5 linked regions of the Canis lupus familiaris genome follow. The main gene of each other region encodes a partner of the protein of the gene in region 3 in a complex. Links are inferred from orthologs where the notes say so. Each region holds a gene or a part of one and is shown on either strand. Other genes may lie near its edges. The genes, in order: SMC2, SMC4, NCAPD2, NCAPH and NCAPG.

Evidence for each region.
Region 1: NCAPD2 (region 3) and SMC2 share a complex: the UniProt entries of both Homo sapiens proteins name them as parts of the condensin complex. The link is inferred for Canis lupus familiaris from reciprocal best matches to the Homo sapiens genes NCAPD2 and SMC2.
Region 2: NCAPD2 (region 3) and SMC4 share a complex: the UniProt entries of both Homo sapiens proteins name them as parts of the condensin complex. The link is inferred for Canis lupus familiaris from reciprocal best matches to the Homo sapiens genes NCAPD2 and SMC4.
Region 4: NCAPD2 (region 3) and NCAPH share a complex: the UniProt entries of both Homo sapiens proteins name them as parts of the condensin complex. The link is inferred for Canis lupus familiaris from reciprocal best matches to the Homo sapiens genes NCAPD2 and NCAPH.
Region 5: NCAPD2 (region 3) and NCAPG share a complex: the UniProt entries of both Homo sapiens proteins name them as parts of the condensin complex. The link is inferred for Canis lupus familiaris from reciprocal best matches to the Homo sapiens genes NCAPD2 and NCAPG.

The regions. Positions count from the first base shown.
Region 1 is NC_049232.1:60,489,227-60,493,221, reverse strand, and holds part of SMC2 (structural maintenance of chromosomes protein 2), read right to left. Parts: intron 3,530-3,995; coding exon 3,386-3,529; intron 783-3,385; coding exon 588-782; intron 1-587. UniProt on the Homo sapiens protein: Central component of the condensin complex, a complex required for conversion of interphase chromatin into mitotic-like condense chromosomes.
Region 2 is NC_049255.1:26,641,106-26,645,708, reverse strand, and holds the start of SMC4 (structural maintenance of chromosomes protein 4), read right to left. Parts: upstream 2,998-4,603; 5' UTR 2,839-2,997; intron 1,666-2,838; 5' UTR 1,661-1,665; coding exon 1,522-1,660; intron 632-1,521; coding exon 453-631; intron 1-452. UniProt on the Homo sapiens protein: Central component of the condensin complex, a complex required for conversion of interphase chromatin into mitotic-like condense chromosomes.
Region 3 is NC_049248.1:7,610,954-7,614,948, reverse strand, and holds part of NCAPD2 (condensin complex subunit 1), read right to left. Parts: intron 3,878-3,995; coding exon 3,641-3,877; intron 3,306-3,640; coding exon 3,131-3,305; intron 2,834-3,130; coding exon 2,749-2,833; intron 1,113-2,748; coding exon 979-1,112; intron 609-978; coding exon 476-608; intron 387-475; coding exon 302-386; intron 226-301; coding exon 58-225; intron 1-57. UniProt on the Homo sapiens protein: Regulatory subunit of the condensin complex, a complex required for conversion of interphase chromatin into mitotic-like condense chromosomes.
Region 4 is NC_049238.1:34,614,116-34,618,110, reverse strand, and holds part of NCAPH (condensin complex subunit 2), read right to left. Parts: intron 246-3,995; coding exon 56-245; intron 1-55. UniProt on the Homo sapiens protein: Regulatory subunit of the condensin complex, a complex required for conversion of interphase chromatin into mitotic-like condense chromosomes.
Region 5 is NC_049224.1:91,919,439-91,923,433, reverse strand, and holds part of NCAPG (condensin complex subunit 3), read left to right. Parts: coding exon 1-131; intron 132-608; coding exon 609-758; intron 759-3,995. UniProt on the Homo sapiens protein: Regulatory subunit of the condensin complex, a complex required for conversion of interphase chromatin into mitotic-like condense chromosomes.

The sequences.
Region 1 (3,995 bases), on a different chromosome or scaffold from region 3:
CATGAATTTCTGCAAAAGTATATATTCTCTTTAAAGTACTTAAGACATTGTGATACAAAGAAGGAAGAAACTTTTTAAGAGTGACCAAAAAACTGAGATAACTGCAAAAAGATAGCTGGTAGGCAAAACATCAGATTTCAGATGAGGCTGCAAAATTGACTGATTCTCACAAGGACATCCGGAAGCCAATGAAGTCCTTCTTTTAGAATTTGCCTGTATGTGTATTTCTGTGAGTTTCCAATTCATTTTGAAATAAGGTAAACAATATATATTTTTAGTACTGATCTATTAATAGGTCTATGAATATTTGCGGATTAAAAAATGGTCAGTTCCATGAAAAAACACTATTTGGTGAAAACATGTTGGAGATAGGAATAAATACCTGAAATTTAGAAACAAACATTTATCCTATTTGGTGAAAAGGAACATTGCTGAGAAGCCTTCAAAATAGCTGTAAGCCTCAAAATTATGTTACACAGCAGTTCTGCCATTTATACTGAATTCCTCATTGAGCAGTTTACCAGAATATTTCAACAACTCAGAAGCAAAAATCTGATTACGGGTAAAAATAAACAACACAAACGTGCCTTCGAAGCAGCATCTTCAGCTTCCCGTTTATGTTTGCTGATGTTGTGGTCCAATTCCTTAATTTTAAGCTGAGAATCATTGTTTTGTTCCTTATGTACTGCTACTTCGGCATATTTAGCTTTAATTACATTGTCTTGGGCTATTATCACTTCTTTTTGTTTGGTCACCTCTTCTTGAGCTTTATTTACAGACTCCTGAAACAAATAATTCAAAGACAACATATAGCAAGGTGCTGTGGACATATTTTTAGTTTATTAAAAGATCATCTAACAAACTTTTGGGCAAGATAGAAATATGTTTAGAGGCAGATGGTCACCTAACCCTCTATATTTTACATCCCCATTAAAATGACTAATTTATATATAGGAGAAAACTTGTTTTACTACTAGAAAAAAGATGGGATGCAGTATTCATGCTGGAAGTGACAAAGTTTCTGCTGGGTACAGTTTAGTTGGGATCAACTTGCAGGGATTATAGGAATCTGACTTTTGAGGTCTCAAAAGGTGGCATTTTTTAGTAGTTAAGAAGAAGACAATATGACAGATCCCCAAATATCATTTATCAAGAGTTTGCAGGTTGGTGCTTTCTACTCTTCCCTTTTATAGATATAAGCTATTTTTACCAGTGACAATGGAAGGTCATAATGTTTGGTTCTAGCACAGGGGTCAAAAGAGAAAAAGAAAAGAGAAACTTTTTTGAACAAATAGATCTGTGACACAAAGAAAAAGTTTCTTGCTTTGACTTTTATTATCCTCCTACTTCCCAAGGCTGAAGCTACTCATTCAATCCTCAAAGTGGTAATTAAAACTGCAATTCAGTCTATCAACAACCCCCTGCTCCACAAACCCCTTTCGTTCATCCTAGATCTTAAATCACATTAAATGTTTAAACCAAAAAAACCAGTTCAACTCATGTTTGGGTACAGGGAAAACCTAAGTAGGACAATCTGCTACAAGCCTCTGAGGAAGAGAAAGGTAAAAGGGTGGTTCTTTGTGATGAAAAGCACAAGTAAGGGCAGCCCCGGTGGCGCAGCGGTTTAGTGCCGCCTGCAGCCCAGGGCGTGATCCTGGAGACCCTGGATCGAGTCCCATGTCAGGCTGTCTGCAAGGAGCCTGCTTCTCCCTCTGCCTATGTCTCTGCCTCTCTCTCTCTCTCTCTCTCTGCATCTCTATGAATAAATTAATAAAATCTTAAAAAAAAAAAAAAAGTGTAGCAGTTTTTTAGGCATGCTCATTACAAAATGATCATTTTGAGCAACAAAGAACACTTAATGTTATGGTTAGGTTATTGAATGTGCTCAAAGTGCTTTAATTTCCTAAAATGTTTAATCTGTGTCATTAGAGATCTTCTGAGGAAGGAAAATAAATCAGGGCATTCATATAAAAACCTAAAGATATTTTAGCTTTTTGAAACATTTGAAGAACAAGAAAAGAAAGTGAAAATAGTTTGGTGATATTAACCAGAGGGAAAAATAACAGATACAGGCCTATTAACTAACACCATATCTAAAAAAAAAAAAAAAAACATGTTTATGAAGATTTTCTCATGCTTACAGGTTAAAAATTGCATTGCAATTTTGACTATTTTAATCTTTTTTATAATAATAGGAAATTGTCACTAAGGTTGAGCAGAAATGAAATTTTAGTTTTGTCTAATTATTTAGTAGGCAGTTTCTTTTCTTAGCCTCTGGGGAGTGTCCTTTGCTATTCTTATCAAAGAGAGGAAACAATTTAGAATGAAGAGCCTGAAAGAACCACCTTTAAGAACGAAGTGATCCATTCTATACTTTTCCATAAAGAAAAATGGAAATATGTATATGTTCGGACTTTGATTTCATTTAGATTGAGAAAGGAGTAGCTTATTTTCACATTTATCTTTATCTTTAGAAACATGTTATCGAATTTTTAAAAAATTCTCCAACATGAGATCCATGAAAGACAGCATAAAATATGGAAAATATTTCATATGAAATAAAAAATATAAGATTAAGACATATTAAATAAAATATCTTTAACAACTAAAATTTACTTTGGAGACAAAATAGAAACTGAACAAATCTAGAAAATCTAATCATCACAAAACAGAACTGAGAAGCATTTTTTCAAAAAAAGTAGTTAAAAATGTTATTCTATTGATTTGACAATGTGTTAAAAACAAAACTTGGGTGCCTGAATGGCTCAGTCGGTTAAGTGTCTGCCTTCAGCTCAGGTCATGATCCCAGGGTCCTGGGATCGAGTTGCACTTTGGGCTTCCCACTCAGTGGGGAGTTTGCTTCTCCCTCTCTCTCTGCCCCTCCTCCCCCTGCTTGTGCTCACTCTCTCTCAAATAAATAAAATATTAAAAAAAAAAACAAAAAACTTGAATTAAGTCATCAAAAGAATTAAGAGCAAGCGCAATGGGGCTGTTTTCCAGATTTGTTCCTTCCATCGGAGGAGTACTTCTCAGTCCTATGGGTCATAATGGCTATTCCCTGTATCTGCTGTTCCTTTATCATTTTGCATTCTCTTTTCTCTTTAGTGATCAATCCCACATCATTCCAAATTCCTACTGTAGTGAATTTTTAATTTAAACTTTGCCTGCTCGAATTACTGTATAATTTGTCTTCAGAGTAGAGCCAGACTAAAACAATTAGTATTATAATTTCAGGACTCTTTCTGGATCACAGTAATCACTGTTTTGGCTCTCATCAAGACAAGAATCAAGAGAGCAAGACCTCTTGGAGTCAAACATCTTCTAGCCAACATTTCATAAGTAGATTCACATTTGCTATTTATCCAATATAGTAAGTAAACGTTACCTTATTTTTAGCCACCTCTACTGCCATTGCTTCAATCTGTACTTCATAGGATTTGATAGCTTCATTTACAGCTTCAAGCTGTTGTTTATAGGATGTGTGCTCTCTCTTGAGCTCTTCCAGCTCCAGGGTGATAGCTTCAACTTCCTAGAAAAAAACATTATCTACACATTCAACAGGCTATTAACTACTGAAAAATGAATACATATATCTCAGCAAAATTAGTAAGATTCTCATGCAAGTAAGACCCACAGCTTCATTATTCAACTACCAGAACACATGTAAGTGGTTTCCCCTAAAAGAGAAAGGAAATTTATTTTCCTACACTTAAAAAAAAAAAAAATCACATATAGTTTAAATAACTTAGCATAAGCTATTTCCTTTATCCGTTTATTCCTAGAGAAAAATATAGAATTCTACATAAGAGATAAACTAGCAGAGGAAAAATGCTTTTTAAAAACATAATTATGCAATGTCAAAAAAAAAACTAGTTTCTCAATTTTCTTCTTTCCCATTAAACCTTTTAGTTCATTAGAAAATACTTTGTGCAAGCATTTAATGACAGAATATGAAGAAAAATAGATTTAAATAAAATTGTATAGAAAAGTGATTC
Region 2 (4,603 bases), on a different chromosome or scaffold from region 3:
CTGCATAAAAAGAACAGGAAAAAAAAATTAAAGTGAAGTTAAAAAGGTCATACTATATAACTGATTTTAATTTAAACCGCTTGCCTTTTTTACTTGCAGCAAAACTATTTAAAATTTTCATTTCAACTTGTTTTCCTACATTATATTCTCCTTTATAACAAGCTTCAACATTTTAAGACTATAGTCTAAATCACTTTTACAAAATTCATTCTAATAGAAAAAATACTTCCTCCAAACAAACAAAAATAACCCCTCACCAATTCTACTCTGTGTGGAAAACTTAACAGCTAAAGAGGTACCAACGATAACCAGGATAAACAAAAACTAATTTCAGTTGTTAAAAACACAGGAAACATACCATGTATTATCAGTGAGGATAAACAGGATAAAACTGAAATACCTTGTAATAAAAACACATTACTCTATAATAGTTATTTAAAATGATCAAATACCTTATGAAAAGGTCCCAAAATTTTTTCCCCAGCATAGGATTTGAAGTTCTGGTTTACAATATGAGTTATCATAAGCCGAGGAGCTCCAGCTTCATTGGCCATGGCTGGAGGCGGGGGAGGAGGGATGCTATTCAAAATCTCTTCTAAACTTCTATTATCAATTTCCTCACTTGGTGTCTCTAAGTCAGTCAAAGGGAAGGGAAAGCAAGAGGAAAAAGAAAGCCTGCATTAGTGCAATTAGTTCGGAGGACTACTGCCTGCTAATCTTTGGAAAAATGTTACTTATGAAACCTAGGAATCTGTATTTTCCACTTAAATGTATTTTACTAAGAAGAAATGAAAATCTTTCAGCTTGATTTTATAAAAATAGAAATTCTTAAAGAAATGACCACCAGTCACAAAATCCTACAAAAATCTATCTCTTAGGAGTCAAAATACTACACCATAAAGCAAATCTGGGAAAACCACAACAACCTGATTCTCTGTTCCTCGCCTAAACAGGTGGTTAAATCCTAAGGCTCTAGATCTAACTTTCTCCCAATCTCTGAGCACCTGGAACCTTAACTTTGGACACTCAAGAGCTTCCAGCGACTCTGCCACGGGGCTTCCTAATGTCACCCAATTCCAGTACTCACAAAAAAGCTACCGTAGTTTCAAATAAATTATCGTTATCTTTTTAAACGCAATTTAGACCAGAGAGGTTAAATTAGGGCCATGTCACTTTTAAGATACAATCATGTTAATTCTGCCTAGAAAACAGTCCACTAGCTATTGGCTGATCACGCCGATCTCCGAGGAAATACAAGGCCACAAATAAAATCGTAAATGTAGCCACGCACTTGCCCCAATCCCCTCCAACACCGTAACACCGAAATTGCACGAAGACTCCGACCTCCGAAAATCGCCAAATCGCTTTGTCGAGCACTACGGAACCGACATGCGACCTACAGTCGCCAACTCCGCAGCCCCTCAGCTCCGCGCCCCCAAACACCCGCCAGTCCCGGCTTGGGCGCGGACCCACGCTGGCCGCCCCGCGCGTTCTCCAGCGGAGGAGCGGCGAGGTACTTACCTGTGGAAGCAGGGGCCGGGCTGCCCGCGCGGCCAGGCGGGGGTTCGGGCTCCGCGTCGCTGCTGGGGCCGTCCGGGGACTGCGGCGGCTCTTCCCTCCCGCGCCGGGCGGTGGAAGGTTGGGTGCCCTTTCGGGGCATGGTCGCTGGGGCCGGGGGAGAGCAGGGGCGAGTCAGTCCGCCGGGCCGCAGGGCTGCGCGGGTACATTCCCCGCCGGCCACCGCGTCGGATGAGCTCAGCCCCCACCCCATCCCACTCGGGGAAAAACTCCGTCCACCCGTTTCCGAGAACCCCTTTTAGATAACGCCGCCGGACGCCGGCGGGTGCTCGGTAAAGAAAGGCGCGCGCACACACACACACACACACAACCCCAAGTGCCAAAAAAGGCGAGATGCGTTTTCTTAAGCCCGAAGCAACTGGGCAAACCTAGACGTGCGTGGCCACCAGGCAAAGGGCAGAACGGCTTACGTTCCATTTTCTTAATGCCTCCCCACCCCCGTCCTCCCACGGCAGAAGGGTCTAACAATCCTCTAATTTCCTAACGAAATAATTCCTGCGCGGCGGCATTTGCTGGTATTCCCACGCTGCTGGGGTTAGCGAAGCAAGCGCAGAAGAGACTTTGGCCGAGAAGACTTTTGTATCCGCTTCAGGTCTGAGGGACTCTCAACTCCTCCTGAGGAGCGACGACTAACGGGCGACTCGCCACCCACTTTCCCCGCCATTTGGCTCCGGGCGCCGCTGACGGCCCCGGGGGCTTCCAGGTCTCGCTCGCTGCCGTCGGACCCGGAGACGGGGGTCGGCCACTCCCGATTTCCAAGACCAGACCTAGCAGCGCCTGGTCCGGGCCAATCATCTTGGGGGTGGCGGGGGTCTGTCCCCTCCGACCCCCCCGTGGAGCCTCGCTGGACAATCCGCTACGAAAGGTCATCACGAAGGGCTCGGACTCGGTGAGCAGTCCCTTGGGGGAAGAGAGGAGGTCAGGGGGCCGGGGCAGGGGAGACGCCCTTTCCCCGACAGAGACCGGGATTTCCGAGAAGAGCTCTGCGAGGCTTAAGAGTCCGCGTCCCCCGCGCCCCCCCCCCGCCCCGAGGCGCTTAAGTAGCTCAGAGAAGTGGCGCCCGCGAGGAGCGCGCGGGAGCCCCGACCGCCGGGAGGCGGCCGAGGGGGGAGGGGTGACAGCGAAAGAAACCTCCCGGCGGCTGCCTCAGCCCAGAGCGGACTTCGGCGGCTCCAGCTCAAGGCCTCTACTTTCCCGGCGCCCGCGGACCGGGCAGGAAGGGAGAGTGTGACAACCTGGTCAGGAAAAGAAGTACTTTACCTGCGGCGCAGGCCACTCGCACCAAAACCGGAGACCGTTGTATAGCACCCCCCGCTCCTACCGGTGTTTCGGCTCCGGGTCCTTCACTCGAAAATGGCGCCTAAAATACAAACTCGAACGGAAATTCGTTACAAATGCGCGCAATGCTTTCTGGGAACCACTAATTTGAAAAAAATGCGGCGCTTGCCACCGCCATCTTCTGGTCGCTTGCACGCATGCGCGAACTCCTGGCGGGACCCTGGCGGGACCCCGGCGGCCGGGCTCGTCTGTAGTAAGTGAAGAGGCGGAGCGAAGCGCTGTTTTGTTTTAGGCCTACGGCAACAGTACTCTTAAAAAATACCAAAAAAAAAAAAAAAAAAAGAAAAGAAATCCCAATCTAGAGAGAGTTTTGAACGAGAGGAAAAAAAAAAAAAAAAACCCAACCCAGGAGGGCTCCACCCACAGCTGGAGGAGGGCTCCGTCGTCTACTAACGTCCCTTCAGGAGAGGGCGGGCTCGGGTGACCCGCGGAGGGGGAAGTATCGCGAGAAGAGGGAGTGTGCGCAGCTCGTAGGAGTCACTATGGTGACAGGGAGGTCGGGAGGCTTCTTGGTAACTGGTCCTAGCTCCGGGAGCAATCGCCTCTGCTTTCCTGGAACTTTAAGGTAAATCTCGTCGCCTCCGGACGTGGTGAGGAAAGGGTTTGGAAATTGTGGCCATCGACGGATCCCACCTTACCTAGTGTGATAGCGTATGCGGCACCGAGCATCTGCCGCGTCCCCCTGCAGGCAGCGAGCGGGGCGCTGGACGAAGCTTTTGGGATGCGAAGCAGGAAGCCCTGAGTTTGGAAGGAGTAGAAGGACAAGACGAAGAACAGAAACACCCGGATCGGTGAATGATTGCATAGTCTATACGTCAATAGCAAAATACTTTGGAATTTGTTGGTGTCAGGTCATTCGTGTCACTAGCGAAAGGGGAATTTCGGGCTTTTAGGATGATTTGATTGAGATTCCGTAATGGAAGAAAATGATTGGTTGATGTCATCTGGTTATCTCCACGAGAAAATTATCGATCGGAAAATATTCCTTCGGTAACTTTTGAATACGTTGTACTGTGAATTACTAAGCAGGTATTCCTGTTTCCAGAGAACTTAGTTTTGTGGGTCGATTTTTAACGTGGAGTCCGTGGTCCTATTGGTGGGGCGATTGAGATTCAGTGGAATTCATAATGCTCCCCCCTCCCACCCCCCACCGCCGCCAGCTGAAACGGTAAACAGAATTCTGTGTGTTTGTGCATTTTCCTGGGGAGTTAGTTTCCTCAGAACTTTGATTCTCAAACGTGGTCCTAATCACCTATTATGTTAACCACCGCCCCCAATAAGTATGTATTCAGCGACACTTAGGAAATTGTCATTGAGAACTGGGAGCCCTGCCCTCCCTTTGACTTTTGCATACTTAGTGCCTGGCATACTAAAGCACGGAGAAATCTGCTTTATAAATGAATTTATGTTACCATTCTAAGTAAGTAGTACGAATCTTGCGCCGGGAGTAAAAAGAAAAGTTCAGTGATTCTCAAGAGGGATGTGGAGGAGACACTCCCTGACAACTCTTTTAAGAATTTGGTGAAGTTCAGAGACTGATGTGGTTTGCCAGAACATTGACTCGGGTGTATAACCCACATTTATTTATTTTTATTTAAATTCAAGTTAGTTAACCTATTGAATTATTAGTTTCAGGGGTAGAATTTAGTCCAATTTAGTGATTCATCATTTGCATGTAACAGTGTTA
Region 3 (3,995 bases):
CAAGGAAAGCAGTAGAGTCTGGCTGCTGCCCACTGAGGACCCTCTTTGTCTACTTACTCGGGCCCTCCTGGGTGGTGCTCTTCTCTCCCAAATTCTCCAGGGCCTGTTTTGCACAGCCCTGCAGTATCTGGGCACAGATCACGTCGGGGCCCTCTGCCAGTTGGTAAATGAGGGTCACTGCCACCTCTTTAAATGGGATCCAGAGTGGGTCTGGGTGGACAAAGCCTGCAGAGAAGAAGGGAGAAGTCACTCATTGCAGCCAAAGGACTCGATTCTACCCAAGGCCTTCATGATAACTCACCTCTTGTGATCACCTCCCGCAGTCGCTCAAATAGCCTATGTTCCTGAGGCAGCCGGAAGGGAGGGTGCCGTTTGCTCAGAGAAGGCTGTTGAGAACAGCAAAGACAAAATGTGCCTATGTGTTGAGAGTGGTTAAGAGGAGCCCCACTCTCCTTGGTTTGGAGATCCCCCATACCTTTCTCTTGTCAGAGAGGTTGGCGATGGCATGGCACACCTGCTGGGCCAGCCGGTAGTCTTGTGGAAACTTCTCATCCAGCCCTATGTTCACCAGTGTGTCTAAGTTGCTTCCCACAATTTCTGGTTTTCCTCTAGGAGAAGGAAGCCACAGAGTTAAAGCTAGTCGGGGACAGCACTCTGTAGGGAATAATGCCCAGTGGGGTAGGTAACAGCAAGCACTCTGTGCGAGGCTTTGAGAGCCCTGGAGCACTACAGAAGAGGCTCTACAGGGCTGGCCCTCAGAATCCCTCTCCCTGTACCGAATCCCATTATTTCTGTTGGGCAGGGTGGGGGGTAGGGGTAGGGGGTGCTGGTACTTGCACTGTTTTACTTTTCATTTAGGTAGCCAACTACTACCTGGTACAGCTGTGGGCCTGACTGCCGGTACCGAAGGGAAGGGAGCCTTCTCAGAGCCCTCCCTCCGCCTCTTATTCCTACTGCCTGTCTGGACCCGAGCCTTACCGTGCCATCATCCCAAGAAGGATGACAGAGGAACAGCGCTCCAGAGGAGAGCAGGGGACCTTCTGGGTTGCCCGCTCCCACAGCACCTGGGTCACTGCTGGCTTCAGTTCATCCTTCTGCACAAACTCACAGAGCTGAAGAGAGAAAAAAAAAAAAAGGCTCAAGCCAGGAAATAACAATTCGCCTGATCCTTGTTCCACTTCTCTGAAGAGAGCACTGAGAACCCGAGGTGGGTAAAAGCAATGCTTAGGCACGGAAAAGGAAGGAGGAGGAGTCTGGGGAGGGGCTTCCATCTCTGTCACTTTTCCATCCTCATGCCCTCAAAACTGCATTTAAGATGACATTTTCAGAGTGACCTTGTTATGTGTGGATCCGTGGCTCTGACCACATTTTGGAGATTTCTAGTAGGTTTTGTTGCTGTTACAACAATGCAACATGTCTAAAATGGAAGGCTGCATCCTCCCTTGCCTTTTCATTTTGCCCAGAATACCAACACTCTTAGTCTCATATGCTTGAAACTTCATAGTCAACGTTTCCTCACTTTGTCCCACCTACTCTTTAAAATCCATCTTCCATTAAGTGCAATTCCATAGCTTTTCCTCCAAGGCCAGCCCCTCACCACTGCACACTTGACAGCAGCCTCCTCTCCACCAACCTGTATGTTCCTATTGGACCAGTCTTCCCAACACCTACTTCATCATGCCATACCTCAGCTCATCTTTTAGAAACAGCTCTTCTTTGCCTACAGTAGGAGCTCGGGGACCGTGAGCTAGCCTCCTAGCCTCGAAGACTTCAGGCCAGTGGCTGCCACGGGGCTCTTCTTTGCCCCAGAGAAGAGAAAAGGTGGCTGGCAGGAATGCTCCACCTAGTGGATGCTGGTGGTCAGCACCACTTCCGCCTTCAGGCTCCACAATCCAAATGCTTCAAAGCACATGGGCCTCACTAAAATGCTGGCAAACTGAAAGTCCTGGACTTGTGAAAGGCATTCAGGGACCTTTCAATTCCGTTCCAATCTACACTCCCACTTTATCTTTTGCAGGTAACAATTTCCAGCCAGAACACAATCTTCACTCTGCAACTTTTTGTGCTCTTTCTTGGCTCCCTCCTTTCTCTAATTCTCTGTATCCTGCTCATCAAGACCCTGCTTAAGTCCTCCCACTGTTCTCCTCAGAGAAACATACAAGGTAAGAGTATGTTTTCCGGAGCTCATATTGCCTGTGTCTCTCCCACAAACCAGCTGTCATTAGCCAAGTACCTTAACCTCTCAGAGCCTCAGGACCTGTCACCGTAAAATGTACATTAGCAGCATCACTTCAGAGGGTTGTATAAGCATGATGCAAGCTCCTACGAGCAAACTGCTGAGGACAGGCCTGGCATATATATAATAAGTGTTATTACATTACCATTCCTGCTATAACCATTACTTAGGCCACTTTTTCTGGCACTGATGTGCCACCTCGTTCTATAAACGTATAAATGTTTTTTGGCTACCCACTATATTGTTGGTTCCTTTAAAATGTTGGAACTTGAAAATAATCTTATACTTTGTAGGGCTGAGTAAATTGCTGAACACACAGTAATACTTATTGAATGAATAAAGAAAGTAGAAGTAAGGGGATGCCTGGCGGGCACAGTCAGAGGAATGTATGATACTTGATCTTGAGGTGTTAGGGGTTTGAGCCCCACGCTAGGTGTAGAGATTATTTAAATAACTAAATAAGCCAAAAACAAAACAAAACAAACAAAATAGAAAGAAAGTAGGAGACTTACAATTTCCTCAAGACACTGGATGGTCCCAACTGAGGCATCCACTAGCAGCGAAGAGAGATTTTGAATCAAAGCCTGGGCCTTGGCTCTGTGGGAATAGCAGAGAGCAGAGGTCATTAAAAACTGCTAAGTGTGAACCCACAAACAGGTTATTAGGGCTATCCCACTACAACGTCGGATAACTATGTAGGATGGGTTTGACTGGAAGTCTGAGCTCCACTGAATCCCATTACAGATCTATGTCTGATGATTTCAGAACTCCTCTAGAAGGATGCCCCCACATCCCCACCCTTCTTTTAGGAGACTGCAGACTCCTAAAAGAGTGCAGTCCTATGAGAAGCTGACCTCAGAGAAGTTGGCAAAGGCCAAAAAGTACCACATATACCTGGCGGAGTCCCCTTTGGGGTTGAGGTAAAGTTGGCGGTAAGCATTAAGCACAGCTTCCCGGACACCAGGCTCCTTAGACCAGATGAGAGGCAGCATGCGGCGCACCCCAAACAGGGCCTGAGGTACCCCAAATTGGAACACCATCACAAAGAATTCAATCACCTCCTGTACCACTGAGAGGATAGATACAAATATCACCCATTGCTTGGCCAAATTCTCCTAATACTTAAAGACAGAACCTTTCTTAGTGTAGCAACACGCAAGTGGAAGCTTTCCTCACTCTCCCTGAGAAAGTCAACTCCTGATGGCCTTATCATGAACTGTGTGTTAAAATGTGTATGCTCCATGGGGATATACACAGCCAAAAGAAATAAAGAATCCCAACAAAATAAAAAATAAAAAAGAATCCTTGCCTTTTTAAAGAGCAGATAATTACCATTAAAATATGGACAAGACTGGTTTTCCCAACCCCAAGACCCAGTCCTTACAGAGAGGGATGCTGGCATACCTGTTGTTGTATTTTCATACATCATCTTGCTGATGATGCCAATGGCCTCTGTGATCTTCAGAGAGAAGCTATAGGCGTCCTGCAGATACTGCACCAGCATCTCCTGCTTTACCAGTTCATCATTGTCCCTGGATTTCATAGGCTCTGACACACAGGGCTTATCTTTACAGTCTGGCTGTTTTAGGCCCGTGTTCCCTGCAGGCCCCTGGGTATTCTCCTGTGTGGAAGCTACTGGGCCTAGGAGTTAGACAGTTATAGGATGGTTATTCCTTGAGGGCTACCCAACACCTGTAACATCCCTGGACATTTCTTTCCACAGTGGGAAGTTCTACATTTAGAACCTACTCTAAAGTAT
Region 4 (3,995 bases), on a different chromosome or scaffold from region 3:
GTGGAAACTTTTCTGATGACTAAAATGCTCTAGTAAAATATATATGTGTACTAACCTTTTAAATCTGTCATTTCCACCCAACCTAAATCTGGTAGCTCCAGGGGTTCTTCAGTGGAGAGAGTCTGGACATCAGAGGGAAACAGAAGCTCACTTCTGTAGTCATGGCAGTGGAGGGTAGAGAGAAATACCCCTGCTGTACTGCACTCATCAAATGAGGCTGCCGTCTTCTGAAACATGGGATCAATCTGAGCATAAAACCAGAGGAAACCAATGAATTATGGGATGCAGCCGAAGCAAATGTAAAATCTCCTTCATTGGACCCTGCTCATTCACAACTGCATATGTGGAATTGAGATATCTCTGCATGTGACTGAAGCAGGGGAAGGACTTTCTATTTAATCAGTAAAATCTCATCTTAGCAGATACCAATAGAAAAGGAAGACTGTGTGTGGTCAGCTGAATAAATATACAGCATTCAAGTACACAGCTTCTACTATGTCAACCTGTTTATGATCCACATGGACGGTACCCTTCTGTTGTCTCTTCCCACAAGTCACTGTTTTCAAAGGGCCTGGCAGAATGCTATCACAACAAATTCTGTGGACTTAAAAAGCCTATGTGATGGATCTGTTCACAAGATCCCATTATTTCTCTGGGGAGAAATATTTTCACAGATTTGGGGAATACAACCAAGAGATTCAGGGGAAAGACAGGCAGAGTCAGCAGGACTAGGTGGATGGGTAAAACATAGGGGAGGTTGTAAAAGGGCCTCCAAGGCTGGGGTAAGGAGCAGGAGTGGCAGAGCCAGGTGATAGCAATCCCAAAGGTAGAACAGGGGACAGTGCACGAGAATGAGGAGAGAGCAAGACACAGGCATGTGTGGCAAGAGGGCAAGTATTGGGTTCACAGGTCTCCTTTATGTTTCAGGATGTAGCTAGTGTGGAGAGAGAGAAGGGGCCTCAGGTAGGATAAGAGATGTGGCTCTCTGGCTCTTTCCTGGCCCCCTTAGCTCTGAACCTGACCTGGCCAGAACCGAGATTCTCCTCTCGCCTCCAATGAGCCCATCTCACCATCGTTCCAGCCCCAGAGTATCAAATACATCACCTCCATTCTCCCTGTCTCCTTACCCCTCAGGCAGTCAGCCTGGTGGGTTTTCCTCCCAGTAGATCTCTACCATCTATCCCCCTTCCTCCTTCACCTCTACTGCCACCAATACAACCCACGCCTGAGTCAACCCTCATCTCTGGTCTCTCCCATTTCCTATCCTAAAAATACTAGCGTTGTTATTCCCATTCCCTTCCTCAAATGCTAACCAGAGCACTGGCATCCCACCTGGATCCCCATACCCTGAGAGGTCCAGTGTGGGTAGTTAGTGAAGCTAGCATATTGAAGAGTCAACACGGAAACTGTAAACACTAAAATATAAAGCTGAAAAACACTAAGATAATTTTCGTCACTTTTGTCTAGAATTATATCATGCAATGAGAGAACAATGGTTCTTCCATATAAATTAGATCTGATTGACATTTTTGAGTTATTTGATGGGAAATTGAATAATTGGTGACTGCAGTTTGGGTAGATGAACCTTGTGTGTGTGTGTGTGTGTGTGTGTGTGTGTGTCTTAAGTAATCTCTACACCCAGCATGGGGCTCAAACTCATGACCTCAACATCAAGTATCATATGCTCTACAGACTGAGTCAGCCAGGCACCTCCAGTAGGTGAATCTTTTGAAACAAGGGTCCACAGCGAGGAAGAGAAATAGTAAATAGTAATAGTAAATAGTAAAATAGTAAAAGGAGCCTTTGGTAGATAATAAAGTGCATGGTAAAGTCTAAAGGTTGTTTCAGCCTTGTGAGTAGATCCTGGGCTCTAGCCAAACTTGTACTCTGTCCAGCTCCCTTTAGGGAGAAACATTCCTGCTTCACAGCCTTTGTTTATGCCTCTGCCTGGCAATGTCCACCTGATAAATACCTACCTTTCCTTTAAGGCCAAGCTCAAATTTCACTTCTTCCATAAGCTCTGACCTCCACCCACTCTGACTTCCTATAGTATGTGCCTTGAACTTCCTTGTATTGTATCCATTTGTGCGCTCCTGGTATAAAGAACTGGAGCTTATAATCAGGTTGGAATCTCCTATGACAGCAAACATTTTACACACAGAGAGCTGTGTCCAAAACAGATCAGCTCATACACAAACAAGAGTTCTCAACTGGTCTAGACACACCCACACAATATTTGCTTTCTCATTTCCATGCCATCTCCAAGAGAATACAGGTTCAAGAAACAGTTGAAACTTCAAATTCTAGGTCTCTGACAATCCCTCCTTCTTGGTTATCTTCCAAATTGGGCTTTGGGTTATTACAAGTTTATGGTGGATTACAGAGCAAAAAAACTTTCTAGGATTGGGGTACTTGGTGTTTAAGACTAGTGATTTCAGGGCACCTGGGTGGCTCAGTTGTCAAGCATCTGCCTTCAGCTCAGGTCATGATCCCAGGGTCCTGGGATTGAGTCCTGGATCAGGCTCCCTGCTCAGTGGGGAGTCTGCTTCTCCCTCTCCCTGCCACTCCCCCTGCTTGTGCACAATCTCTCTTCTCTCAAGTAAATAAATAAAATCTTAAAAAAAAAAAAAGACTAGTGATTTCACGCAGCATAAATGTGGCTGACCATCACAAGCTGAGAGGGAACAGCACCACTTGCTCTCTCATTTTCTCTCTAGAATAATGGGCAAGGCTAGTTAGTGCAAGCCTCCTCAGGCTCCCCAGAATTGGGTCTAGCTGGTCAGAAAAGGAAACAAAATTTCCAACCATACTGTTGAACTGACATTTCACTACAGAACCAGAAGCAAAGCCAAGAATGACAGTGAAATTAATGCTCAGATTATCTAAGAAGAAGGAAAAACATGGAGAACTGGAGAGGGGAAGGGAAGATGGGAGAGAATTATATGGCTCCTCTTTAGGGGTATACAACATATTACCATGGATGAAGCACTTTGCCAGGGACAGATTCTCTACCACAAAACCCATATGCAGACAGAACTAGCGTTAACCTGTTTTTACAGTTTAACAAAGTGAGATTCAGAGCCTTTTCCCGCGCCACACAGCTAAGAGAGTGGAACCAGGATCTGAACTTCACATCATATGCTTCCAAATGTGGTACTACCTAAGGTCAATTCTGACATATGGATAAACAGAACTCCCTCCCCACAAAGTGCCTGCAACTCGTTTCCCTCCTCCCTCTTTGGCCTTGGCCTCGGCATTTCACCTTTCTCGACCCCCTCCACACCCATCCACACATTGTCCTCACACCAGCACAGGCTGGAGCGGCCAAGCAAGGCCAAAGCAGAACCGCCCCATCACTCAGAGTGAAGCCGTCAAAGCCCCTCACTCCTAGCCCCCTGTGTGCTCTGCCTCTACCACTATCATCTGCTATGAGACCACCAGGACTAATCTCATCATTTCCCTTTATTTAATTTATTTATAAAAGACCTAGGATCCCACAGGATTCTACATTTCCCAGGGTCTAAAACCTATACAGCTCTGACATCCCCTCTTTGGTCCCCATCTCCGTAGGCTAACAATGGCTATTTCCCCCCAGGGCCCTCTAGAAATTCCCTATATTCCTCCACTTCATTCTTGAAGGTTCTCTCCACCTACCAGCTTTAACTCATTCATTTTTAATTGGAGGCAGTATCATTCTCAAGGGAGTAAAAACCAGTTCTTGGGGGAGGGTAGGGAAATCTTAGAAATGATAGTTACTTGTGGTTTTCCAAGGCTCAACACTAGCTGATAAAATCTTATTCCATAATAATTAATTTAAAGGGTAGTGGGGTAGGAAGAAAATACCTAAAAAGGCCCATTCTGGGTAAGAAAATGACAAAAGGAGCACTACTCTAATGAAATGCTGCCTGCCCAAGGACACTGCTTCCCCACAGGCCTCACCACTGTGGCTGCTTCCTCTCCTGCAGCTCCCTGACTGCTGGCCTGCATGTGGGATA
Region 5 (3,995 bases), on a different chromosome or scaffold from region 3:
AATATATTAGAGTTGCTCCATCGGTTAGATGTGGAAAATTCTTCTGAAGTGGCAGTCTCTGCTCTCAACGCCTTATTTTCAGCAACTCCTCTTAACGAACTGGCAGAAATCTGTAAAAGTGACGATGGCAGGTACATGTTCCTTACTTGAAATGTGATTCTCGTGAACTTCTACAATTAGAATCAGTCCCCTTCTGGTCCTTTTCTGATGACTTCAGATGGTTTTAATAGCTTTTATCTAACTCACCTGTGTCTTTACTGTGGCATGGTGAGTGTCTTTTCTTTTTTATCCCCTTTGGGGAAGGACTCGCTACCTTATCACGGACTACTTTAGCTGCATTCTTTTTCTCCCCCCATTTTGTTACTTTGATGTGTGCATTAGCTTACCATGGAAAGTCCTGCAACATGCTTCCCTATTGTATGACTCTTTTTTTCTCTTTTGCTCTAAATATTTTCGTTTGTGCACGTGTGTGGATAAATTAATGACTTTGCAATTAAAAGGATGCTGGTTATAAATCAGGCTTGCTTTTTATTCCTATTTTTTATACTTAGTTCAAATTTTTAACTTTAAGATTATGCTTTCTCTTATTCTCTCCCTTTTAATTGAAGGCAACTGATTCCATTGGAAACATTAACTCCTGAAAATGCTTTGTATTGGCGTGTCCTTTGTGAATATGTGAAATCAAAAGGAGATGAAGGTGAAGCAGTTTTGGAGCAGATTTTGCCGGAGCCTGTAGTATATGCAGAGTATTTACTAAGGTAAAATTTTTTCTTATTATTCAGATTGTACTTTTGTTGCTGTGTTAAGCCTCTAGCCCCTTCCCTCAAAGTCATGTTTGATGACTTTGTGAAAAACCATTTTTTTTGACTAGGCAGAGATAAATAGCAATGTATATTGAGTCTTTCTGAAGAATGTTCTGTGCTGGATGGATAAAGTGCAAAAAGTCAGTGTGTTTAGGGAGATTTCCTTAAAACTGTTAGGATGTGCTTATGAACATTTCTCCATAAAGTTGATAATGATGATGATGTGTTACTCTTTGAAATTGGTTGGCAAACCTTTTCTAAGGGTCAGAGCATAAATATTTTAGTTTGTAGACCTGTGTCACAGTGACAGTTCTGCTGTGTTGGTGCAAAAGCAGCCAAAGAAATATGGGATGAATGATTGTAACTATTTTCCAATGAAACTTCTTTCAACTTTTATGGACTAAAATTTGAATTTCATATGATTTTCATCTGTATATATTTTCAAATTATGTTTATATCCATGTATAAACAAACTTCCATTTAAAAGTGTATAAACTCTCATCCTGCAAACTATGAAAACAAGCAGCAGGCTGTATCTGGTGCACGGGCCATACTTTTCCAACTGACAAGGTGAACCTTTGTGGCTACTTTAGTATTAATTAAACCTGCACTATTTGGCTTTTTGTTTTCTAAAAGGATTTTTCAATATACACTTTTATATTAGTTATTCTAATTTCACTTTAAAATTGTACAAGTAAAACATGAAAGCAATTCTGATCAAAATTCAAATACAGAAATATGTAGAAGAAAAACGTAGAATTTTTCTTTCATCTCCTAATTCTTTAATCCCATTTATCTTACAGTTAACAATTTGTGGAATGTACACTTGTGGCCCTCTTTCTCTACATATATATATTAAAATACACAAAAATTTTAAACATAGCACAATACATGTTTTTGTTTTTCTTTTTCCCCCCAACTACTTATATCTATCTGTGGTCATTATATGTTGGTGCGTATAAACTTATCACACTCTTAACATATTATTCCATGGTATGATGGCAATACTTAATTTACTTCTCTGTTAATGGACATTTAGCGTGATTCTGGTTTTTTACTGATAAGGTTGTATTAAACCATACATTTTTATATGTGTTTGGGATTTTGTGGGGTTGATTCCTAGAAGTGGAATTGCTGGGTCAAAGGTTATATGTATTTTCATAGATTTTGGTGGGTAGATTTTTAACTTTATGCTTTTAAAAAAAAATATTTTATTTATTTATTCATGAGAGAGACAGAGAGGGAGAGAGAGAGAGAGAGACGCAGGCAGAGGGAGAAGCAGGCTCTATGCAGGGAGCCCGACGTGGGACTCGATCCCGGGTCTCCAGGATCATGACCTGGGCCGAAGGCAGGCGCTAAACCGCTGAGCCACACAGGGATCCCCTAGCTTTATACTTTTAATGCAGTTTTTAAAAAGCTTCTTCCATATAATATGAATTATAGGCCTGAGTTCTTTTTGTATAGAATGTAACATTTTGCTTTTGATGAATGATTCCATGTAAGTTAGGAAGCAAAACTATAAATGCATTTTAATTTGCATGCAAAATATTGAACCAAGGATAAATACCTAAAATTTGAGCCAAAATGGAAACTTACAGCCTGAATTCATAGTAACATCATAAAAAATATGAGTGAATCTACTGTTTCAATAGTAATTGTTTCAAGCTTCAATATAATTAGAGTATTCATTATATTGCTGTTTGGGCCATGTTGCAGTATTTCCAAAACCAATGAGTTTGATGTAGTGCTTAATAATATGAATTAATATAAAAGTAATAAATACTTATAGAAAATAAGGGAATGTTTCAGAGATTAATTCTTAGTTACTGAAATCAACAGGTAAGGAGCTTGGTTTCCCTGGCTCTGAGAAGTTAGGGATTCTTATATTTCCATTGTCACTTAATCTGTGAGTTTTGAAATAGGTAACTTTAATCAACTTTTTATTTAAAAAGAAGAAAACTTTAAAAATTGTATTTTTATTATTATTGAAAGAACAGTTTAGAAATAGAATAGTTTTCTTTTTGGAGCGACATCACTAGATAGGATTAGCTTATTCCGGTACTGAAACAAAATTAAGTGGAAAAATTGCTTCCTGAAAAATCTCAGAAATATATTTTCAGGCATTTGGTAGCAGAAAGAGGTAGTGACCCAGAATTCTGATATGAAACAAGGTTTCCTGTTAACCGAAGTATTCACATAAAGGAAGAAATCAGGGATATTAAATTTGGCTTGTCAAATTTGAGGAAGAAAAAGAGATGTGAACACAATTTTAGGAAACAACCTTAAATATAAATTCTTGGAGAGAGCTTTAGGAAAAGGCTTTCTTTCTTGAGTGTTCTCCTCATTGTAATGAATGTGTTTAAAAATGGTTAAAAAGAGATGATTTCATGGTAATTAAAATTGGTGGGTCCATTTTAGGTTGTATTTATGCAGTTTGAGATTCTTAATCTATGAATGAAGTTATTACTCTGAATTTATTTAAAAAAATACCCTCAGTCTTGATGCTATGCATTGTGCTAAAGCTGGAGTGGAAGAGTAGGGAAGGATTCAAAGAAGAGGGGATCCCTGGGTGGCTCAGTGGTTTAGTGCCTGCCTTCCACTCAGGGTGTGATCCTGGAGACCCGGGATCGAGTCCCACATCCGCCTCCCTGCATGGAGCCTGCTCCTCCCTCTGCCTGTGTCTCTGCCTCTCTCTGTCTCTCGTGAATAAATAAATTAAAAAAAAAAAATCTTCAAAGATGAGTGAAGGTTTTTTTTAGCCTGTCAGAAACCAGCAACTCTACTAAGCTAATGATTTTGATAATTACTAGTTTCTTTCCTTTAGTTTTCTACTAGAACCCAAAGAGCGCTGATGCCCTTTGAAAGTCCTATCTCATGGCCAGAGATTTGTGAGCTTTTATTTACTCTTGGTTGTTATTTTAAAGACGAGTCAGTTTATTCATCATACATAATTCTGCAGTTCTTATAACTTGATTTTTGTTGACAATTTAAAAATGACATTTTCATCAGGATTGTTTATTACTTTCAACCTAAAGGCACCTAGTTGTCTAAGCTTTAACTCTTAATTCTGCCTTTACCTAGGTTTTTTTTGTTCACACAAAAAAGAGAACTTTTGGTAGTCTGTTGAATTTTATCTAGATGAGGGTTGTAAAAGGCTTTAATTTGGGCGGAGGTAATAAGCATAAAAGGGTA